3 linked regions of the Callithrix jacchus genome follow. The protein of the gene in region 1 binds, or shares a complex with, the protein of each later gene. Links are inferred from orthologs where the notes say so. Each region holds a gene or a part of one and is shown in the gene's direction. Other genes may lie near its edges.

What was found.
Region 2: CORO2A (region 1) and TBL1XR1 share a complex: the UniProt entries of both Homo sapiens proteins name them as parts of the N-Cor repressor complex. The link is inferred for Callithrix jacchus from reciprocal best matches to the Homo sapiens genes CORO2A and TBL1XR1.
Region 3: CORO2A (region 1) and GPS2 share a complex: the UniProt entries of both Homo sapiens proteins name them as parts of the N-Cor repressor complex. The link is inferred for Callithrix jacchus from reciprocal best matches to the Homo sapiens genes CORO2A and GPS2.

Annotation. Positions count from the first base shown.
Region 1 is NC_133502.1:146,291,866-146,298,732, reverse strand, and holds the start of CORO2A (coronin-2A), read left to right. Parts: upstream 1-3,136; 5' UTR 3,137-3,367; coding exon 3,368-3,391; intron 3,392-6,867.
Region 2 is NC_133518.1:9,698,544-9,705,252, forward strand, and holds the start of TBL1XR1 (F-box-like/WD repeat-containing protein TBL1XR1), read left to right. Parts: upstream 1-2,955; 5' UTR 2,956-3,060; exon of another isoform or gene 3,061-3,835; intron 3,836-3,849; exon of another isoform or gene 3,850-6,709. Other genes in the region: uncharacterized protein LOC144579870, read left to right, coding at 1,965-2,197. UniProt on the Homo sapiens protein: F-box-like protein involved in the recruitment of the ubiquitin/19S proteasome complex to nuclear receptor-regulated transcription units. Plays an essential role in transcription activation mediated by nuclear receptors.
Region 3 is NC_133506.1:73,796,049-73,802,640, reverse strand, and holds GPS2 (G protein pathway suppressor 2), read left to right. Parts: upstream 1-2,030; 5' UTR 2,031-2,088; intron 2,089-2,287; 5' UTR 2,288-2,341; coding exon 2,342-2,435; exon of another isoform or gene 2,436-2,565; intron 2,566-2,665; exon of another isoform or gene 2,666-2,797; coding exon 2,798-2,907; intron 2,908-2,991; coding exon 2,992-3,104; intron 3,105-3,236; coding exon 3,237-3,316; intron 3,317-3,407; coding exon 3,408-3,490; intron 3,491-3,661; coding exon 3,662-3,815; intron 3,816-3,908; coding exon 3,909-3,998; intron 3,999-4,084; coding exon 4,085-4,164; intron 4,165-4,228; coding exon 4,229-4,346; intron 4,347-4,526; coding exon 4,527-4,660; 3' UTR 4,661-4,706; downstream 4,707-6,592. Other genes in the region: NEURL4 (neuralized-like protein 4), read left to right, coding at 1-35, 124-289, 1,113-1,317; EIF5A (eukaryotic translation initiation factor 5A-1), read right to left, coding at 5,729-5,791, 5,887-6,018, 6,240-6,344. UniProt on the Homo sapiens protein: Key regulator of inflammation, lipid metabolism and mitochondrion homeostasis that acts by inhibiting the activity of the ubiquitin-conjugating enzyme UBE2N/Ubc13, thereby inhibiting 'Lys-63'-linked ubiquitination.

The DNA of each region.
Region 1 (6,867 bases):
AAGGAGGATGGAGTGTGGCTTCAGAGCATGCAATGTATATATTGAGAAGACCTAAGAAAGCAAGACAAAGGTGCTGGGTGGTGGCTTATGCCTGTAATCCCAGCACTTTGGGAGGCTGAGGTGGGCGGATCATGACGTCAAGAGTTCAAGACCAGCCTGACCAACATGGTGAAACCCCATCTCTACTAAAAATACAAAAATTAAGCCAGGCATTGTGGTGAGCACCTGTAATCCCAGCTACTTGGGAGGCTGAGGCAGGAGAATCACTTGAACCCAACAGGCGGAGGTTAAAATGAGCCGAGATCGCGCCATTGGACTCCAGCCTAGACAACAGAGCGAGACTCCATCTCAAAAAAAAGAAAGAAAGAAAGAAAAAAAAAAAAAAAGGAAGCCAAGGAGCAGGCTGCAAGTGGCCACCGAGTTGGGGGGTGGTTGAGTGCTCATGGAACCCTTGAAGTTTAGACAGGGGTTCCTGCTGCTTAGTAATCTCGTAACCTCAGAAAACTGACTTGGCTGCTCTGCAGAGTGCCCCAGCCACACTCATGAAGAGGAGATAATCCTCCCCGCCCCCAGGTGGTTGTGAGGGGTAAACTGAGCCACAGTTGTGAATCGTTTGCTGGGCTGTAGAGCAGTGGTTCTCAAAGAGTGGCCCCTGGGCCAGCGGCTTCCTAGTCACCTGGGAACTTGGTGGAAGTGCAGCCTCACAGCTCCCACCTGCTCTGCTGAATCAGAAACTCTAGGTGGGCCGAACAATCACAGTTTGTTAGTTTGATTTTGTAGAGACAGAATCGCTATGTTGCCCAGATTAATCTGGAACTCCTGGCCCCAAGTGATCCTCCCTCCTAGGCCTCCTAAAATGCTGGGTTTGAAGAGTAAGCCATCACCTGGAATTGTTGTTTTCCAGCCCCCAGGTGACTCTGAGCATGTGACAAGGCAGGCAAACACATCTAAATGTGATGCTGTCACCCTTCCTCACAGCCAGCCTTGTGGGCGGAAGTGCTTTTCCCACCGGGGCACCGACATCTTTCCTGCCCTCTTTGCATCCTCAAAAGCCTTGGCTGCTGGCACTTGAAATTTGAGAAGGGCAATCTGGCCTCCTGACTGCCCTGGCCTGCAGGCCCAGCCTGAACAAACAATTTCGGTGGAGCTCCTGGGGGTGGGAGGCAGGGAGGAGGGGCCTGGCCATCCTCTCCTGCCAGCTGTTGTAGACCCTGCTGGGGACTGATGAAGGGTGAGCAGAAGCATTTCTCTCCATGTTAACAAGCAGCTGAGAAAGTAGCAGAAAAGAACTTCCCATCCCCTTCCCGCTGTGGGGCCAAGCTTGGAAGTGGGGTGCAGGGCTGAGCTTGGAAGTGGGGTGTGGGGCCGAGTTCACAAGTGGGGTGCAGGGCCGAGCTCAGAAGTGGGGTTCGGAGCCAAGCTCCTAAGTGGGGTGTGGGGCCAAGCTCACAAGTGGGGTGCTGGGCTGAGCTCACAAGTAGGGTGCGGAGCTGCCAGCATCTGCAGGAGAAGGCAGGCCCTCAGTGGTATCTAGGGACTCTTGCCCCAGGGCAGTCACACCCTCCTGAGTCCAAGCACGGAAAGCCTCAGAACTCTCCCCGTCCTCCTCATGGCATTCTGCAACCTCTCCAGCCCACTGGAGCTGGACTTGAAATGAAACCCACTTATGTCTTCCTTAGATACCAGCCCAAAGTTGAGGAAAGAAAATCGTTTCCCAGGCTCAGTGTCCTAACTTCCTAATTGCAGGGGCTAAGTCTCCTTTGGCTCTGTGTCACACCCCCAGTTACAAACTTTGATGCCTCCCCAATGTCTCAGGTGCCATCTCATCAGCATCCCCCTGCCGCCACAGCCCCTCTTCCAGCCGCAGCCCCAATGCTGGCCTGCATTTGCCTAGACCAAGTCTCCCACCCCCCCACCCCGCTGAGCTGAAAGCTCCTAGCTCTATCTCCACACACCACACACGGCCAGGCGTGGCCTAGCACAGCACCTTCCACCCAGGTGCCTCCCCTTCCCTCCTCTGCTGGGCTTGCTCTACTTGACCTTGAAGGCTCAGCTCAACCGTGTCGTCCCAGAGGCCCACCCTGACTCCCCAGATTTCCATCTCCCTGCTGCAACTTGCGGCGCTGGCCTTAGCCCTGGTGACCCTGAATTGAGCTTGCTGGTTACATGGGGGCCTCCCCCATCCTCTGAGCTCCCCCGTAACTGACCCTGACCCTGTCTGGGTCCATCATGCATCTCCCTTACAGTGCCCAGCATGGCATCAGACTCACAGTGGGCACTGATGATGTCGGCTGAACTGACTCTGGGCCCCCGGTCCCTGAGGCAGGCAGAGTGAGGGCTGATTTGTGGGTCCATGCTGAGAACAGAATGCAGGGCCCTGGTTGGATGTCCGCCCCAGGACCAGAGTTGCAGAGCTTCAGCCCTGCCTTGGGCTGACTGTGGGACCCTAAGCAAGGCTTTCTCCCTCTCTGGGCCTCAGTGTCCTTCTCTGTCCAAAGACAGGCCCGAAAGCTCTGTGCCAGAAAGTGGACAGTGAGCAGGAAGTGGAGCCCAGATTTTCAGCCTCTGGAGGCGTCTTGGAAAATCCCCAGTGACCCTTGTCGCTCGAAACTCCCAGATAAGGAGATTGTGGGGCAATAAATCTGTGTGGAGTTTTGTCAGATCCTGATTTGGGGGGTTAAACAGGAAGAAGCTCTGCTGTGTCTTCAGAAGGCCTAGGCAGGAAGGAGACCAGCCTTCTGAGGACGGCTGACAGGTGGACAAGCTCTGCCGCCCTCGAGGTCCTGAGTGTGTCTGGCGTGTGCAGGCTGCAGCGCCCTCACAGATCATCCTAACAGGTGGGCAGGGCAGGGCTGTTACTATCATGTGGATAGAAACACAGAAAGCGGGAGAGGGGATGAGATTTGCCCAAGGTCATGGAGTGAATTGGTGTCAGAATTAGGATTATCGGCCAGGGCTCAGTGGCTCATACCTGTAATCTCAGCACTTTGAGAGGCAGAGGCGGGTGGATCACCTTAGGTCAGGAGTTCAAGATCAGCCTGGGCAACATGGTGAAACCCTGTCTCTACTAAAAGTACAAAAATTAGCTGGGTGTGGTGGTGCATGCCTGTAATCTCAGCTACTCGGGAGGCTGAGCAGGAGAATCACTTGAACCCCGGAGGCAGAGGTTGCGGTGAGCCAAGATTGCGCCATTGCACTCCAGCCTGGGTGACAGAGCAAGACTTTGTCTCAAAAAAAGAAAAAAACAAAGCAAAAAAAAAGAATTGGGATTCTCCAGCCTGACCAGCACACTGCTATGACAGTGATGGGCCCAGCCCGTTGGCTCCTAGCACCCCAAGGTGGAATTCGGAAGAAGCTGCTGGTTTGAATGGAAGCTCAAGCTGAGAGTCAGGTGGGCCTCCCCCTGGGTCCCCACAGGGCTGTACATGGGCGCAGCAGAAGGGGAGAACCATCTGGGGTTGACAGTCCTCGGGGTGTGTTGGTGGGGGAGGAAGGAAGAGAAGGAAAAAACACAGTGGGCAGGAAAGGAGGAGGGGAGGGGCACTTCCATGAGCCGAGCTCCTACGTTGTGCCAGACACATGCAAAGTCTTTTACGTACATGATCTAATTTAATCTTCTAGATTCTATGAGAAAAATATTAGGGTACTCTAATGCTATGGTACAGAGACAAACAGGGGTCCAGGGCTTGAAACTGGTGACTTCTTTTTCCCTGCCCTTGGCTACCTCCCCAAATGTCAGGATGGGACTGCATGGGATGGAGAGACTGCTCAGTCTGGGAGGCGGGGAGGCTCCCTGGAGGTGGTTCTGCTGGAGCTGGGCCAGGAAGGTGGGGTGAGAGGAAGGGGCATCCTAAGAGCCCCGCTAAGTGCCACCCAGCAACTTACCTGGGCTGGAGTAGTTCTAGGTGGAGGGAAGGGGCATGAGCAAAGATGGATTATCTGGGAAAACATGATGCTTCTTTATTTTCTTTTTGCTTCTCCCCTTCTCTTTTGAAAAATGTGATGCTTTGAGGGGAAAGCAGACAGACCAGTTCAGCTTAGAGAACAGGTCTGTGGAGATGAGAAGGAGATCAGGGACGCAGGGGGAATGTAGAGACCTCAAAACCCAAGTCCAGCAGAGGACTTTATCCTGAGGACAGAGGGGACCCGGGTGGGTTTCAACAGACGTCGGGAAGGGGCAGGGCCAGAGTTGAGGTCGGAATACTCTAGGCCTGAATCCCCAAGAGAGAAGGCTGCTCAGGCCTTGGCATGGCCTGGGAGAGGAGTAGAGAGCAGGTGGGGGCTGTGGGGGGCAGGGCTGGCTGGGGAGGAGGCAGGGCAGGAGGAGGAGGCCAGTCCAGGGACGGTGGCTCTGGGCAGTGTCAGATGTAGGGAGGAGGCACTCCCGCAGGCCTAATCTCATCAGGAAGAAAGAGGCCTTGTCTTGGCTCGCTCTCTGACTCAATCTGTACTTCCTGTGGGCCTGCAGGGAGGCATCTGTGCTGGACCAGAATGATGGGCAGCGCAGGGGCGGGGAAGGCGGAGACCTGAGGACAGGGCTGTTTGTGTTTGCCGGCTGCAGACCGCTTCTGCCTCCCTTGTTGATGGTCGAGCCCCAACAACCCTCACTCGTGAGAGTCCCTGGATGGCTGCACTCCTGCTTCCCTGCCTGGGCTGTGCTGATGGAGAAGAAGCAAAGGGTTTTTTCCCCTGCTCCTCCACCCCATCCCAGGCCCCTCAGCACCAGGGCAGGGTGGGGCCTTCTGACATCCACCCGGGAGAGCCCAGCCTGGAGAAGCACAAATGCACTCTCTTGGATTCTTCTCATCCAGCAGGGATTGTCAGCTAGCCTTCTGCATGTGTGTGTCTGTTCCCCATCATCATCGTGAGCGCCAGGGGTTGGAACTCTCACGAGCCACTCAGACCCTGGCAGCCTGCTTTATGCTTTCTGGTTTGGGATTTTTATTTAGATCCCCAAAATATTGGGCTCCCAGCATATACCTGGTTGTGTGTTAAATCACATCTCAGTGTCCTGTACACATTAGGACCACAACAATCTTACTAGTCAACGTCTGCTGAACACTACGTATGCACCAAGTGTGACTCCGCATGCTGTGTATAAGTGTCACCTCATGTAAGTGTCCAGGCACCCCTGTGAGAGTGTGGACCTGCGACTGAACAGCGTGGCCTGGATTCCAGCCCAGCCACTAACTAGCTGTGTGGTCTTAGGCAAGTTACATAACCTCTCTGTGCCCTGTTTCCTCATCTTAAAAATGGGGTGATGATAGTATTTGCATGAGGGTTGAGTTAGTACATAGAATATACTAAACACCTAATCAGCAATATAGGTGTTAGCTATTATTTGTATTTGTAGCTCCTGATTCTCCTAGTGAGGAAACAGACACATTAACTTGCCCAGAGTGGCAGAGAGGAAATGTTAGGGCGGTGCTGTCCGACAACTTTTTTCAGTGATGGGCGTGCTCTATAATTACTTATATGGCTTCATCTGTGAATATTAAGCACGTGTGGCTTTTGAGCTCTTAAAATGTTGCTAATGTGACTAAGGAGCTAGATTTTACACTTTATTTGATTTTAACTTTAATTTAGAAGTCTTGTGGGACTAGAGGTTCTGTGTTGCACAGGGCTGTTTACAGCCAAGATTCGAACCCTGACAGTCAAGCTCCAGAGCCTGGGCCACCTCTGTGCTCTCCTGCTTCTTTCTTGCATAAATCTTGTACAAAGGAAATTTAAAGACACATACAAAATTAAAGAGAAGATTCCAGTGAATCCTCATGTACCCCGACCCACCATCAGCAGCCTGTTTCATCTCTACTCCCTCATTTTCTCCTCCTCTGTTCAACAGCCCCAAGGTATTTTAAAATAAATCCTGGATGTTATACCATTTCATCTGTGAATATTAGGCATATGTCTCTAAAAGATAAAGACTCTTGTCTAATATAAGCACAATATTATTGTCACACTGATGACAACAATTCTGTAATATTGTCAGGTGCCCAGACTGGAGTGCAGTGGCGTCATCATAGCTTACTGCAGCCTCTAACTCCTGAGTTCCAGGGATCCTCCCACCTCGACCTCTGGAGTAGCTGGGACTACAGGTGTGTACCACCATGCCCAGTGAATTTTTTTTTTAATTTCTAGTAGAGATGAGATCTTGCTGTGTCAACCAGGCTGGTCTTGAACTCCTGAACCCGAGCGATCTACCTAATCCTCCCAAAGTAGAATTTTCTTCCTTTTAAAGGTTGAATAATATTCCATGGTATGAATATACCACATTTCACTGATCCGTTCATCTGTGGATGGACACTTGTGTTGATTCCACATTTAAGCTATTGTGAATAATGCTGCTATGAACATGAGTGTGCAAATATCCCTTCCAGATCCTGCTTTCATTTCTTTAAGCCTGCATATTCCAGAAGTGGAGTTGCTGAATCTTATGATCGTTCTACTGTTAAATTTTTGATGAACTGCTGTACTATTTTTCATAGCAACTGCACCATTTTACATTCCTACCAACAGTGCACTAAATCAGATTGTTTCAAATCGAATTGTTTGCTTGCTTGTTGAGTTGTAGGAGTTCTTTGTATATCCTCAGTATTAACACCTTATCAGATAGATTTGCAAATATTTTCTCTCATTCCGTATGCTGCCTTTTCACTCTGTTGCTAGTATCCTTAAATGCACACCAGTTTTTAATTTCCATGAGTATAATTTGTGTATTTTGTTGTTGTTGTTGCCTGTTCCTGGTGTCATAACCAAGGAATCACTGCCAAGCCCAATGTTGTGAAGATTTTGCCCTTTGTTTTCTTCTAAGTTGTTGTTTTTTTTTTTTTTTTGAGATGGAGTCTCACTCTGTTGCCCAGGCTGGAG
Region 2 (6,709 bases), on another chromosome or scaffold:
CTGTATATGTTGGGACAGCTACAGGGTGAGACGACAATACATGTCACCTTTGAGTGATGCTTTATTTCTCTGATTATTTGATGTTGAAGCCACACTGTTGTTTCAGATAGTTTCCAGAATATAGAAATCAAAGCGATCAAAATATGATCTTACTTCAAACCCCCTTTGCTGGAGGAATCAAGGCCTTTCCACATTTGGGTGCCTCCCCCTACCTTTGTTTAAAAGTACTCCAGGTCTCTCTTCAATTAGTATGATCCAACAGTGGTGAGCAAAGCACACTTTATTGGAATGAATTTATGGTGCAAGTCCCCAACCTCAATGATCTTCAGGATATTCAAAGGCAGTAATTTACGCACAGAAACATCTTGTCAACTACAGGGATATAAACAAATGCATACATTTTTATTATCATTGTAATGAGGCTCAACTAACACTGAACAACTTTAGGAGGCAGATTGGTGTAGGGTGTAAGAACTTGAGGCTGGAAGGCCTGATCAGAGGGTGTCTCCCCCCTTGTGGAGTAAGGGATAGAGGTCATTTAGGGGAAAGAGAAAGGGTGGGGTGGACAGCTTTGAATATGACTCTTTAAAAACTGGTATGCTTGAGAAATCCTCATTCACTGAAAGTGTGTTTATGGTCACTGCAGTATGGAGAAGACCTGCTTGTGGTGGTACAATATGAAACTTCAAAAACAATCCAAGTAATCCAATAGATATGTTTCACTGGGTGGTTCAACTTAGAGACAGTGTGCTTATTGAAGACAGGATATGATTAGTGATATTCATGTCATTAATCAACAAAAAAAAACAAAAGGAAGCTACAATACTCATCAATTCTGAAATAAAGTCTTTTCAAAGGTGTTAGTTCTGAGGTAAACAAGCCTCAGCTTCAGAATCCAACTGAATTGCAAAACTTGCTTTGCGCTGTTTCCCGGTACACTCTGCACAGTGTTTTGGAAACCTGCAGTTATCTAAATTCCCATCGGGTGACATTGTTTAATCCAACATTCCCTCTTTCATACATGAAAATACCTCTAAGGACACACCACTGATACGCTTTGAACTCCCTTTCTGGTGGTTGGAAGGGAGTTTCCAATCCCACTCCCTTTCCTCTGATGGTTTTCCTGCTCCCTGCCCCACTGTGTCATTCAAGAAGGGCCTCTGGCAGCTCCGCCAAGCAAGGGCTCATGGGGAAAAGAGACATTGACCTTGGCTAAGTAAGCACCTGTCTAATCACTGAACTTATTAGGCCACCGGGAGTCCAGACTGGTGCAAGTTACTTCAATTAATACGTGTGTGTGTGTATACACAGAACTTTAGGCTTCTGATATTGACATGAAAAGATGGTTGCTTTAAAATGATCAGGACACCTATTTAAAATATTGTGATGAAAGTATAAAAACCGTACCCTTCACCTTTAAGAAAGCTGCAAACATTATTTTGCTTTGAAGGCAGTAATAACCGAAATAGCAAAAAGGTTTCAAGTCGTATCTTAACTAAAAGGGTGGCTGCTTCTCCAGTGCTGAGCTTATACAAAGCTGTAAGAAGCACCCCACCCCAGCTTTCTGAAAGTCTTAGAAAGATTACCACCCATTTGCCTCAAAACCTGTGAGGTGCTGCCCTTCTTTAAAAACGACCCTCCCTCAATCATACTGCCACATTGTCACTCATCTAAGTTATACCTTATAAACCGCCTTCCTGTGCTTCACACATGCAAAAAGTACACAGAGTGGATAAACTTCTACTGTGGATGCCGCCGTGGAGGTATATATTTAGTAAACATTTAGTTACATTATTTTATTTTGTGAAATAAGAACTGATCGACCAAACCTTTCAAACAGACCCACCAGATGATAAATACCACCATATGCTTGCTTCGCAGTACATTTGGGCATAAACACTTCAATTTCAGCTTTGTGTTTAGTATCAAAAACCTTTTCTTGTGTGCGTGTGTTTTCTCTCCAGATCCCGTGCTCTGGATCACATTTCGAAAGTCGCTTATTACAGATAAAGCACCTTTCCAGGTACGCTTCGGAAAACCATATGTATTTACGCACACAAAGGTATGCACAGAGATTTTCACAACAAACGTCCTTATGATGCCGCGCCGCGCTCCCGCACATGCTGCCGCGTGTGCGCCCAGCCCCCAGCGCTGCCGGGCCGCCCCCCGGACACGCGGGAGTCCGCGGCCTCCTTAGGAAACTTCGCCGGCGTTTCCACCCCGGCCCCGGCGCGGGCCTCCCCACCCCCACCCGCCCGGGGCCCAGCGGCCCACACCCGAGCACGCCCAGGCCGGCCCGCGGCGGTGGGGTGGGGTGGGGTGGGGGCGGGGCGGGCGGCCGGGTCCCGAGGCGCCTCCGAGCGCCCGCGGGGTTCGCCCGATTTTTAAAAGAATGCGCCGCACACGCCCAGCCCCCAGCGCCGCCGGAGCGGGCAGGGAGGGAGGAGAGCGTCGCCGCCGGAGCCCCCCCCGCCGCGCCGCCGCCTCCCCGCGTCCGCGGCGCCCCTCCCCCGCCGGCCCCTCCCCCGCGCGCCCGCCCGCTCGCCCGCCCGCCCGGCGCAGGCCGCTCGGGTTTGTTTTGCTGCGCGGCCGCCGCCGCCGCCGCCGCCGCCGCCGCGGGCCTCGCGAGCTCATTTGTGCCTGGCTGGTCCCCATTCCTCTCTCCCCAGTGTTGAGTGTCTGAGCCGTTGGCTGCTCCGAACCGTTTGGCTCTTTCCCTTAGTAACAGCTTTTACCTTCTGCCTCAATTCCTCTCCCCGCTCGCGCCCTTCCCCCGCGCGCCGCCTCCCCCCGCCGCCGGCCGCGTGCGCCCCCGCCCCTCCCCCCGCGGCGGGAGCACCTCCGCTCGCCACCTGGGGACCCGCGCCGCGCTCCCCGCCCCCGCCCGCCCGGCGCCCATCCCCCGCGCCCTCCGCTCGCTGGGGTTATAATTGCCTCTCACCCCCCGGAGGGGTTATTTTGGGGGTGGTTGGAGGCGGTGGCGGCGGCGGCGAGGAGGGGAATTTCCTTGTGCCTCCATTCCTGGGAGGGGGGAGCGGCGTTGGAGGCCACCGTTTCCAGGTAAGCGCTGGGGGCCGGACCCCGGAGTGGGGGAGGCCGCGGGCCTGGGCTGGGGGCGCGGGCCGGAGGCGGCCGGGGGCGCTGGGCCGCGGGGGGGATGGGCGCGAGTGGAACATGCATTTTTCAACTTGGCCCTTGGGGGAACTGGGCTTGCGTGGGGGAGGGGAAGGCAGGGAGGGCACTTGGGGCGCCCCCATCCCCCCGTTTTCCTCAGGTTTCTTTGAAATGCTCACGTGCTTGCCCACCCCTGCCCTTTCCTGGTCTCGGGGGATCCTCACCCTAATTATGTTGTCCCCGAAAATGTGCACCTCGGCCTTCTCCCCCGTTCCACCCTTCGTGCATCTACACCCCCTTTTTGTGCGTGTGTGTATGAGGGGGGAGGCTTTCAGGAAAGGATTTGCAGCAAATTGAATCAAGGAGCCATCATGAGGCCGACTCCTTTATAGCCTATTTTTAGCAGAGGAGAAGGAGCTTTTCGGTGCATGCTATTTTGTGAAACCTCGGGCAGCGATGGAAATGCCCCCTCCCCGGGCGCGTCCCCGGCCCGGGAGCGGCGACCCCGGCCGGCGTGCGAGGGGCTGCGGGCGGCTGTTGGGGCCGCGCGTCCGGGGCGGGGGCGCCGGCCGGGGGAGGGGCGCGCGGCCGCCGGGCCTTGCTCCGGGACGTGTTTATTTGTAACTTAGTGCTTTTTATCCTCTCAAGGAGGTATTTGGTGGAGGCTCTTTGAAGTTGGGTTCAGGAGTGTAGAATTAGCAAAGTTATTGCCAGCTTCCTGGTAAGTTTGGGTGGCACAGAGTCACGCTATTTTCTGACAGTGTAAAGGCCACGTTGTGAGGGTGGTTTCTCTGTAACTTCCTCTTTGCAACCGATTTAATTTTTTGAGCAGAAGCAGACTTTTATTTACGTGGAATATTAATCTTAAATGGCAGCTCGAGGGAAGCCATGCATGTGTTAACGTGTTCAGTATTTTTGGAAGTTCTTAAATTGCTGAAACAGGCATCACTTCGCAGTGGCAACCGGGATTAAATTTAGGCTGTGAAAACGGTGTGTTTCATATAAAATTTGGGTTGTGGCTTTTAAAAATGCTCTCTTTGTTAGGTTATCTAAGTGTCTCTAAGATAATTTGATGATTACAAATGAGAAATGTTGGGAGCTAGTTGAAAATTAGGGTGTTCTCAGCGTCTGTAGTTTACTTAAAATCTTGGCCTGTGCAGGCACCGGGGGTGAGGAGTTTTCGTACCTATGTGATTTACAGTTGACTTAGGAAAGTTTGCTATTCACTTTCTTGTTTCGCAAACAGGAACCTTATGCTGATCTAAACAAGCTTGTTAATAAAATGTGGTGGGTGAAAATGACAGGTTATTTTTAGTCTGAATTTTAAGACTGAATGGTTTTTCCATTCCGCACCTCATATAATTAAGTGATCTTCTACCCCCTCCTTTTTTCCTTAAAGGCTCCTTCGCCAGTTTGGGTAGTAATAAGGCCCTCGTGGTGTTTTCATCCACTTACCTGCAACAACTTTGAATAAACGATTCCGATTACACATTGAAGATAAAATGACTGTTTGGGTTTTCCGGTGTGATTCATTTTCATTTTTATTAAAATAAGACCTATGCTACATGGATGTATTTTAGTAATCCTGGCTTCCTGGGATTGTATGTTCTCACAGTTTTAATAAGTTTATAGTCGGGGGAAGTAGGGCAGCTTTGTCTCCCCAAAACATGGTGTATGTTGGGTGGTATCATGGGAATTGATGGCAAGCTTCCCAAATTGTTGCTGAGAGTTCTAGAAATAGTTAGCATTTACCTGTGGGGGAGGGGCTGCAGGAAGAAACTCTGCCTGAGAGCAGTTAGGCCTGATGTGTGATTGGGCTTCTTGCTCGTAAATCCAGGTTTTCTTGTTCGTTTGGAATATGATGTTCTTTTCACCCCTTTCCTGCACTGAGATGTATGTAATCACAATCATTAAAGTCGTAATAACTCCTATTTTTTTTTTTTTTTTGCCGTTTGAGTTGTTAGAATCAGACCTCAGGACAAAATACTAAACTGTATGGGGCATGAGAACACGCCTGGGAAAAGTTTTTCTTACTGTTAAGGAACTTAAAGTGACATGTTAATGGCATAAAAATGGTTGCAAAGCTTACCAAATCAGTTTATAAGATATATATATATTTTTAACATATACCAGCTGTGGTTACTAATGTGGGTGACATTGGTGATAAATGGAGTGGTCCCTTGCAGAGATATTTTTGCGTTAGTTGCTTCAAAGAAGTGTTAAGCATTTTAAAACGTATGTCCAGTAAAAATTGATACTGCGTTCTCAACACCTAATTAAAGGTTTCGCATGATTACCGTGACACCAGCTTCCCGTGTATTAGGAGCCTTTCAAGCCAACATGTAGAAAGGGCCGAAGATAATATAAACATAGGGACTACTGATAAAAGGAAATATGATTAGTAGACCTTTTGAACCTCAACCTGTTGATTAAATCCGTCAGTTCATATATGGCAGCGCAGTATGTATACAACCTTGTCAGATGAGCAGCTGACAAAGGAATCTTCCTTCTACAATTTGTAGCAAGTACTATTATAAAGAATTTCTGACTTGACACATTTTGATGAAGTTGGTTGAAATAATTTGTTGGGTTTGTTGAATTTTGGTGTCATTTATATAAAAAGAACAGAAGAATGTGAATGGTAGGAAGTCAGAGGAGAGATGGCAGAAACATTGGCACTCACTAGAACGTGTGTTTTTCTAGTACATGTGAATTGGACTCATTTCACAAATAGCATTTACAGTATAAGTCACTGAAATGCAAAAAAGGAAAGCAGTGAACATGAGACATTTATACTCTGTGCTCAGACATTCTGGTAGAAGAGAAGGGCCAGGACCCTAAAGCTGTGGAGTAAAGAATTGCTGAGTATCCTTCAGTTTAAGCACCCTCTCCTGCTCTGCCACCAACAGAAACTTAAAGAGAAAAGGCTCAGTGAGAGATCTGATCCTGGAAAGATTTGGCTATTTACCCCTGTGAGATTGGATTCTGTAAAGAGTACAGTTAATTGCCTTGTTACCAGAGAGCCAGAGAGGGAGGGACTAGGTGCTCATAGCTATGCTCTAGGAGGTGTGAGGTGCTTTCTCTGCCATTTATTCCCCAGGCTAATCCTGTGAGGTAGTGTTGGGCTCTTTTTGTAGATGAAACAGAGGTGCAAAAGAAGTTAATTCACTTGTTCAGGGCCACAAAATGATTAAATGAGCACTGGGATTCAAACCTGGGTCTGTCTTAGATGGCTGCATCTGTGGAATTTTCCCAGCTGTTTTGTTAGTCTTGATCTGTGTGGCTTTTCCAAAAACTTGTGTTTTTAATCAAGTTGATGAGGTACAGTTGAGCATCTCCACTAACTGGGTCAAGTGATTGAATGGGTAAAAGAAATTCACAGGACTCAGATCATTGTGCTGAACTCCCTAGCACCATTTACTAAGATGCGGTCTTGCCTGTAATCTCAGCACTCTGGGAGGCTGAGCTGGGCGGATCAGGAGGTCAAGATGTGGAGACCATCCTGGCCAACATAGTGAAACCCGGTCTCTACTAAAAAGACAAAAATTAGGTGGGCCCGGTGGTGTGCGCCCGTGGGCCCGGTGGTGTGCGCCCG
Region 3 (6,592 bases), on another chromosome or scaffold:
ACGGAGAGTGCTGGACCGAGGGGAGCTGGGAGCAGGTACTGGGAGCAGGCCCTCGAAGGGTGGGCTGAGCCCGGGGGCTATGGAGGAATAAAGAGGGCTGTCCTAACCCAGTTCTCCTCCCAGGTACTGCCTCCATCTTGAGCTGCCGTCCCTTGAAGGGAGAGCCTAGGGTAGGGTTTGAGGAGCCTGGCGAGAACTGTGCACCTCCTCGGGAGGAGCAGCCCCCTCCGGTGCTGCTTTCCCCCTCCCTTCAATATGCTGGGGCTGAGTCCCTGGCCTCCAAAGTGCAGTGAGTACTGGGAGGGGCGGGGAGATCTCCAGGGCCTCAGACGGAGAGGGGCCTCAGCGCAGTCACTGGGGTCTTCGTGATTTACCGTCCCCTTTTCTCATCTTGTCTTGCTAGCTGCCCAGTCTCCAACTCAGCCCTTTCTTCACTTATTGAACAAATACCACTTGTATGCTCATCTAGTGGGCAAAAAAAGGAAACTTGCTCTTGTGGAACTTCTGCCTTTTCTCTGTAATGTTTACATATAATAAACATTTAGTAGGTCTGAGTAAGAACTACGGAAACAAAGAGTGGGGTGAAGGAAACAGCAGTGCTGTTGCTGTGGGCATCATAAGAAGGTGGGAGGCCAGGTGCAGTGGCTCACACCTGTAATCCCAGCACTTTGGGAGGCCAAAGCGGGCAGATCATGAGGTCAGGAATTCAAGGCCAGCCTGGCCAATATGGTGAAACCCCATCTCTACTAAAAATACAAAAATTAGCCTGGCATGGTGCCACCTGCCTGTAGTCCCAGCTACTTGGGAGGCTGAGGCAAGAGCATCACTTGAGCCCAGGAGACAGAGGTTGCAGTGAGCTGAGATTGTGCCACTGCACTCCAGCCTGGAAGGTGGGAGACATTCGAGCAAAGGCTTGAAGAAGGAAGTAAAGGGTAGCTGAGCAGGCTTTGGGAGGAAGAGCATTTCAGGTAGAAAGAACAGCTAGAACGAAGTTCCCAAAAGGTGAGAGGATTTCCTAGGTAAAGCAAGGCTTGTGTGGTTGGAACAGACTTTGCAAGGGGAGAGGTGATGGGGTGAGAGGCTTCACTCCCCTATTTCTTCTTGTCTGACAGATTCCGGGACCCCAAATCCCAGCGGACGCACCAGGCTCAGGTGGCGTTCCAGGTGTGTGTGCGTCCTGGCTCCTACACCCCAGGACCCCCTTCCGCTGCCCTTGGAGAACCTTCTGACCCTCACTTCAGCCCAGCCGAACTTGAGTGGGTCACTAAGGAGAAGGGGGCCACACTCCTCTATGCTCTGCTGGTACGGGTGGAATGAGGGGTGAGACACCACTACTACAAGCACAGTCGGGCCTCAGGCCCATGGACTCCGAGTGGCGACTGCCTCCACCTCATTCCCGTGACTGTGGCATGCGCAGGTGCTGGGGCTCGGCGGCCGCTCAGGAGCATGTAGGCAGGCTCTCAGATGTAGGTGGGAAGCGGCACACTCCAGGTCCAGACGCCCAGCACTCCGTCTGAGGGGAGGAGCTGCGAGAGCCTAGCTCCAGGCCTTGGTACCCTTCTTCATGCACTGATTTGTGGAACATAACTCCCTATTACTCCCCTCCCCGACATCACTTAATTTATTTCAGTTTTTGTTACTGGTTACTGTGAATCCCAGAGGAGTCTCTACCTGTGCCCACATGAAGCTGCTTTTGCCGGGGCCACTGGGCGGGAGTGGGGAAGGGCGGGCGCACGGAAGACGGGGGCCTCTGTACAGTTGTTACTGACTCTGATTTCTAAGGAGCCAATAAACATCGTCTCAGAGCCTCCGCTTCAGCCTCTCTCTCACGCGCCCCTTTCCGGATCCTGCGTCCCCTGGGGTACTGCCAGGCGGGCCCGCGAAATTAAGAGAACTGAAGATGCCAAGGCAGTTGTGCGGCGACGGGGTTTGGACGCCGCGGGTACCCGTCGCATCGCGCTTCCGCCTTCTCCCACCCAATCAGTGAGATCGGCCGCCGCCGTGACTCCGGAAGGACTCGTCGGGCCACCGGATGTGACGTAGGGTCCAGGGCGCGCCGGAGCCGCGGAAAAAGCGCAGAGAAGGCTGGTAAGGAGGGTTGGCGTCCGGGCTGGCCAGGCAGGGAGCGGCAGCACCGAGCCGGGGACCCAGCGCCGCCCGCGCGCGTGCTGGAGCGGGGGCTGCGGGCTCGGCCGGGTGGCGGGCTCCCGGGACACGTGACCGGGGCGGCGAGCGGGTTTCCGCCTGAGCCGGGCGCGGGCCCCTCTGAGCGCCCGCCTCTCCGTAGGTCTCGTCTGAGGTCTGGCAGTGAGAGACAGAGCCGGGCGTCCACGGCAGCACCATGCCTGCACTTCTGGAGCGCCCCAAGCTTTCCAACGCCATGGCCAGGGCGCTGCACCGGCACATTATGATGGAACGGGAGCGCAAGAGGCAGGGTGAGCCGGGGCCATAGCGGAGGGCATACGGCCCAGAATGGCTCCTGTACCTCAGGGCTGGCCCCAACCCACCGGCCAACCTGCGCGCCCGCTGCCGAGCGCAGAGGAGGGAACGAACAGCTCTGTTGTGGTAGGATTTAAGCGTCCTAGTCCACTCTCCAGGACCCTTGAGCTGGGAAGGACCTTGGAGAGCACCTGATAAAGTCTCTCCATTCCATTCCCTATTGCAGCGTTGGGGAGCTTGTCCCCTCGAGGCAAAGAGCCCACAGGCGTGTTGGGATGACTGGGTTTTGCTGGTCTTCAATCTGTAACGTTGGAATTTTTACTACCCTGCCTCTTCCTCATTCTGCGTGATTCTCCAGAGGAAGAAGAGGTGGACAAGATGATGGAACAGAAGATGAAGGAAGAGCAAGAAAGAAGGAAGAAAAAGGAGATGGAAGAGAGAATGTCACTAGAGGAGACCAAGGAACAAGTAAGCAGTCCCTTGATCTCTCCAAGCTCTAAATTCTTCCCTTGACTCTCCCTGCCTTCATCTTCTCTCCCCACCCCATACCAGATTCTGAAGTTGCAGGAGAAGCTTTTGGCCCTACAGGAAGAAAAGCACCAGCTTTTCCTGCAGCTCAAGAAAGTTTTACATGAGGAAGAAAAACGGAGGCGAAAGGAACAAAGGTGGGATCAGAGTGATAAAAACCGAAATGGGGGCTAAGTGGAACTGGGATCAGATAGTAAGACAACCAGTGTTTTAACGACAAAAGAGAGAGTGTCTGTCCTTGACTTTGATCTGTTTTCCTTCCGCTCCAGTGACCTGACCACCCTGACATCAGCTGCATACCAGCAGAGCCTGACTGTTCACACAGGAACTCATCTCCTCAGCATGCAAGGTGAGGATTAAAAAAACTACCTGATAGAACCAGCCTTCTTTGAGGTTGCAGCCTACCATTTCAGCATCCTGCCGCCCTTCTCCCTTTCTAGGGAGCCCTGGAGGACACAATCGCCCAGGCACGCTTATGGCAGCTGACAGAGCCAAACAAATGTTTGGACCCCAAGTGCTTACGGTAAGAATAGGATTGGATGCCTAGTCCCAAATATCCTTGCCACCAGTATTCAAGTCACAGACATATCAAGCACTTAAATTTAGGGGGAAACAAGAGCATAAAGATATACACAAGTCACTGAGTTTCAGCTTTCATGGAGCTTGTAGGTGAGTTCTCATTCTCCCTCCTTAGACTCGGCACTATGTGGGCTCAGCAGCTGCTTTTGCGGGGACACCAGAGCATGGACAATTCCAAGGCAGTCCTGGTGGTGCCTATGGGACTGCTCAGCCCCCACCTCACTATGGGCCCACACAGCCAGCTTATAGTCCTAGTCAGCAGCTCAGAGGTGAGTCGTCGGAGGGATGGGGGCTTGGCTTTCCTCAGGGTCAAAAGAGGAATGCTATTGAGTAAAGGGTTAATAGCCGTGTCTCTTTCTCAGCTCCTTCAGCGTTCCCTGCAGTGCAGTACCTATCTCAGCCACAACCACAGCCCTATGCGGTACACGGCCACTTTCAGCCCACTCAGACAGGTGATAACATCCCATGCAGGACCTCTAGCTCTCTGGGTCCTCCCCTCCCTGTCTCATTGTTTCACATGCCCCTGCTCCCCACCTAGGTTTCCTCCAGCCTGGTGGTGCCCTGTCCTTGCAAAAGCAGATGGAACATGCTAACCAGCAGACGGGCTTCTCTGACTCAGTGAGTATGGCGCTTGGGAGGTCAGGGTTAAGGATATGTTAAGAGGAGCTTCAGTATGCGTCAGGCCCTGACTCTGTTCTCTGCAGTCCTCTCTGCGCCCCATGCACCCCCAGGCTCTGCATCCAGCCCCTGGACTCCTTGCTTCCCCCCAGCTCCCTGTGCAGATCCAACCAGCAGGAAAGGTAAGAATGGTAATAACCTTACCTGTCAGAATCCCTATCCCAGAAAAGCAGAATTAGGTAGGACAGGTGGCCCACATCATCTGGTTTTACCTTCCTCTTTGGGGGTGGTTATCAGTAAGGGTATTAGTGGAAGGGAAAGTATGCCCAGTGACAAAGCCCTCTTTTCATCACCACCGCCAGTCGGGCTTTGCAGCTACCAGCCAACCTGGCCCTCGGCTCCCCTTCATCCAACACAGCCAGAACCCGCGATTCTACCACAAGTGACCATCAGATTATTATCTTCAACACCATACCCCCCATCCTACTGTGGGTGAGGGTACCCCCTGTGTGTCCCAGGCCAATAAAATCTACCTGCCACTGCCCCTGGCTGCTGCTGTTTGTGTTGCCTCCCACCCAACTGTCTGGAATAGGTCAAGGCTGCTTGAAGGGTTGGGTTAGGCTGGCAGGTCTACAGCAAGTCAAAGTGATACAGATAGTGGGTTTCAATGAACTCAGTGGCAGAGGTCAGTCTTTTTGTGGGTTCCAAATATACCCATTTAATTGAAATAAGCAGCTGAGTTGGGGGCTTCATATTAAACTTGTAGTTTTATTCAGGTTTGATTTTAACAAATGTATCGGGGAGAGAGCCCGCAGGGAAAGGTAAAGCCCATGGGGGCAGGGCCCTCCCAGATGCCTGAGGAGGGGCAAGTCCCCTCCCCCTCCTCCTCTTCCCTCCCCATCTAAAGGGGTTTGGGGAGAGAGACGCAGGCAGGGGAGGGGCTGGTCCCCATTCTGTTGGGATGGTGCTTAGGGTAAAGGGCCATGGGGAACAGGGGACCAGACCAGGGATGAGTGGGGAGGGCATAAGGACCATTTGCCAGAATCCACTGCTTTCTGATTCCAGATTGAATAAAAAAAAAAAAAAAAAAAAAAAAAAAAAAAAAAAAAATCCACAAGCAGCACCCACCCCTTCTCCCCCACCAGAGCTGTAGTGTGAGGGGAGGAGAGGAGGGCAGCTCACCAAGGCCATGGCTTCGCTTGCTCCTGGCCAAGGGAGCTAGGTGAAGGGCAGGGGCTCCCCGACAGATTGGGGGGGGGAACCAAAATAAAACGTCAAATAAATTGTGTAGGAGTCGTCCAGCCTAGGACCAGGCCAGAGCCAGGCCAGGCTGGGGGAGGGGGCCTCTGCAGGTTCAGAGGATCACTGCTGCCACCACCGCCACCCTGGGTTGGAGAAAGAAATTGGTAAGACAGGATAATACACCTTCAACAGGAAGGAGAGGGAAGACAGGGCCAAGCTAGGGGCAGAAAGGAGCAATTAAGACTAGAGCAGCTCTGCTGAGTGAGGACAACAAAATGTAAAGGCGACAGTGAAGGATTTGTGACACTCACCAGGGAGCCAGTTATTTTGCCATGGCCTTGATTGCAACAGCTGCCTCCTCTGTCATGGCAGACAGCACCGTGATCTGGAGGAGCAAGAGGGACAGCCAGATGTCTGAGCTCAGAGGAAAAAATGTACAGAGCAAAGCTGAGCACAAAAGCAGGGAGGGAGGCACCATACCAGGATCTCTTCTCCACAGTCATACTTCTGCTCAATCTCCTTGCCAAGATCTCCCTCAGGCAGACGAAGGTCCTCTCGCACCTCCCCACTGTCCTGGAGCAGTGATAGGTACCCATCCTGGATGCCAATCAGCTGGGGGCACATAGGGAAGGAAGCTGAAGGTAGTAACTAGCCCAGGTAGGCTGAGAGTAAAGGCTCTGAGACAGATTGGAATGACAGCAAACTAATACCAAATACCCTCTCCTGCCATTTCCCTCCTATCTCCCAGCACAAGCTCTTCTGGTCAGTCCCTGTCCTCCAATCCCCCTCCACCATAAACCACTAACCCATCTTCATTCAGACCATCTACATACCTGGAAATCATTCCTTTTGATGTTGGGGACATCCATATTATGAGTTGACGGGCAGATATCTTCATATTTCTTCCCAGTAAAGATGTCAATACCAACCAGGTGGACCTGTATGTATGCATCACAGAGAGAAACCCAACCAAACTCGCTTAAGATGGAGAAAGTAAAGGCTCAAATTGATCTTGCCTGATGAGGGAAGTCAGACTACACTGTTGGGGCAAAGACTGGGAGTATTGGAATTGAACCAATCAACTCAAGAAACAGTAAAGCCTCTTAAAACCAACCAACAGAGGCTAAAAGACCACCGGGATTGGGGTTGGCAGCACAAGAGAAAATGGCATGACAGGCTTAGAGAA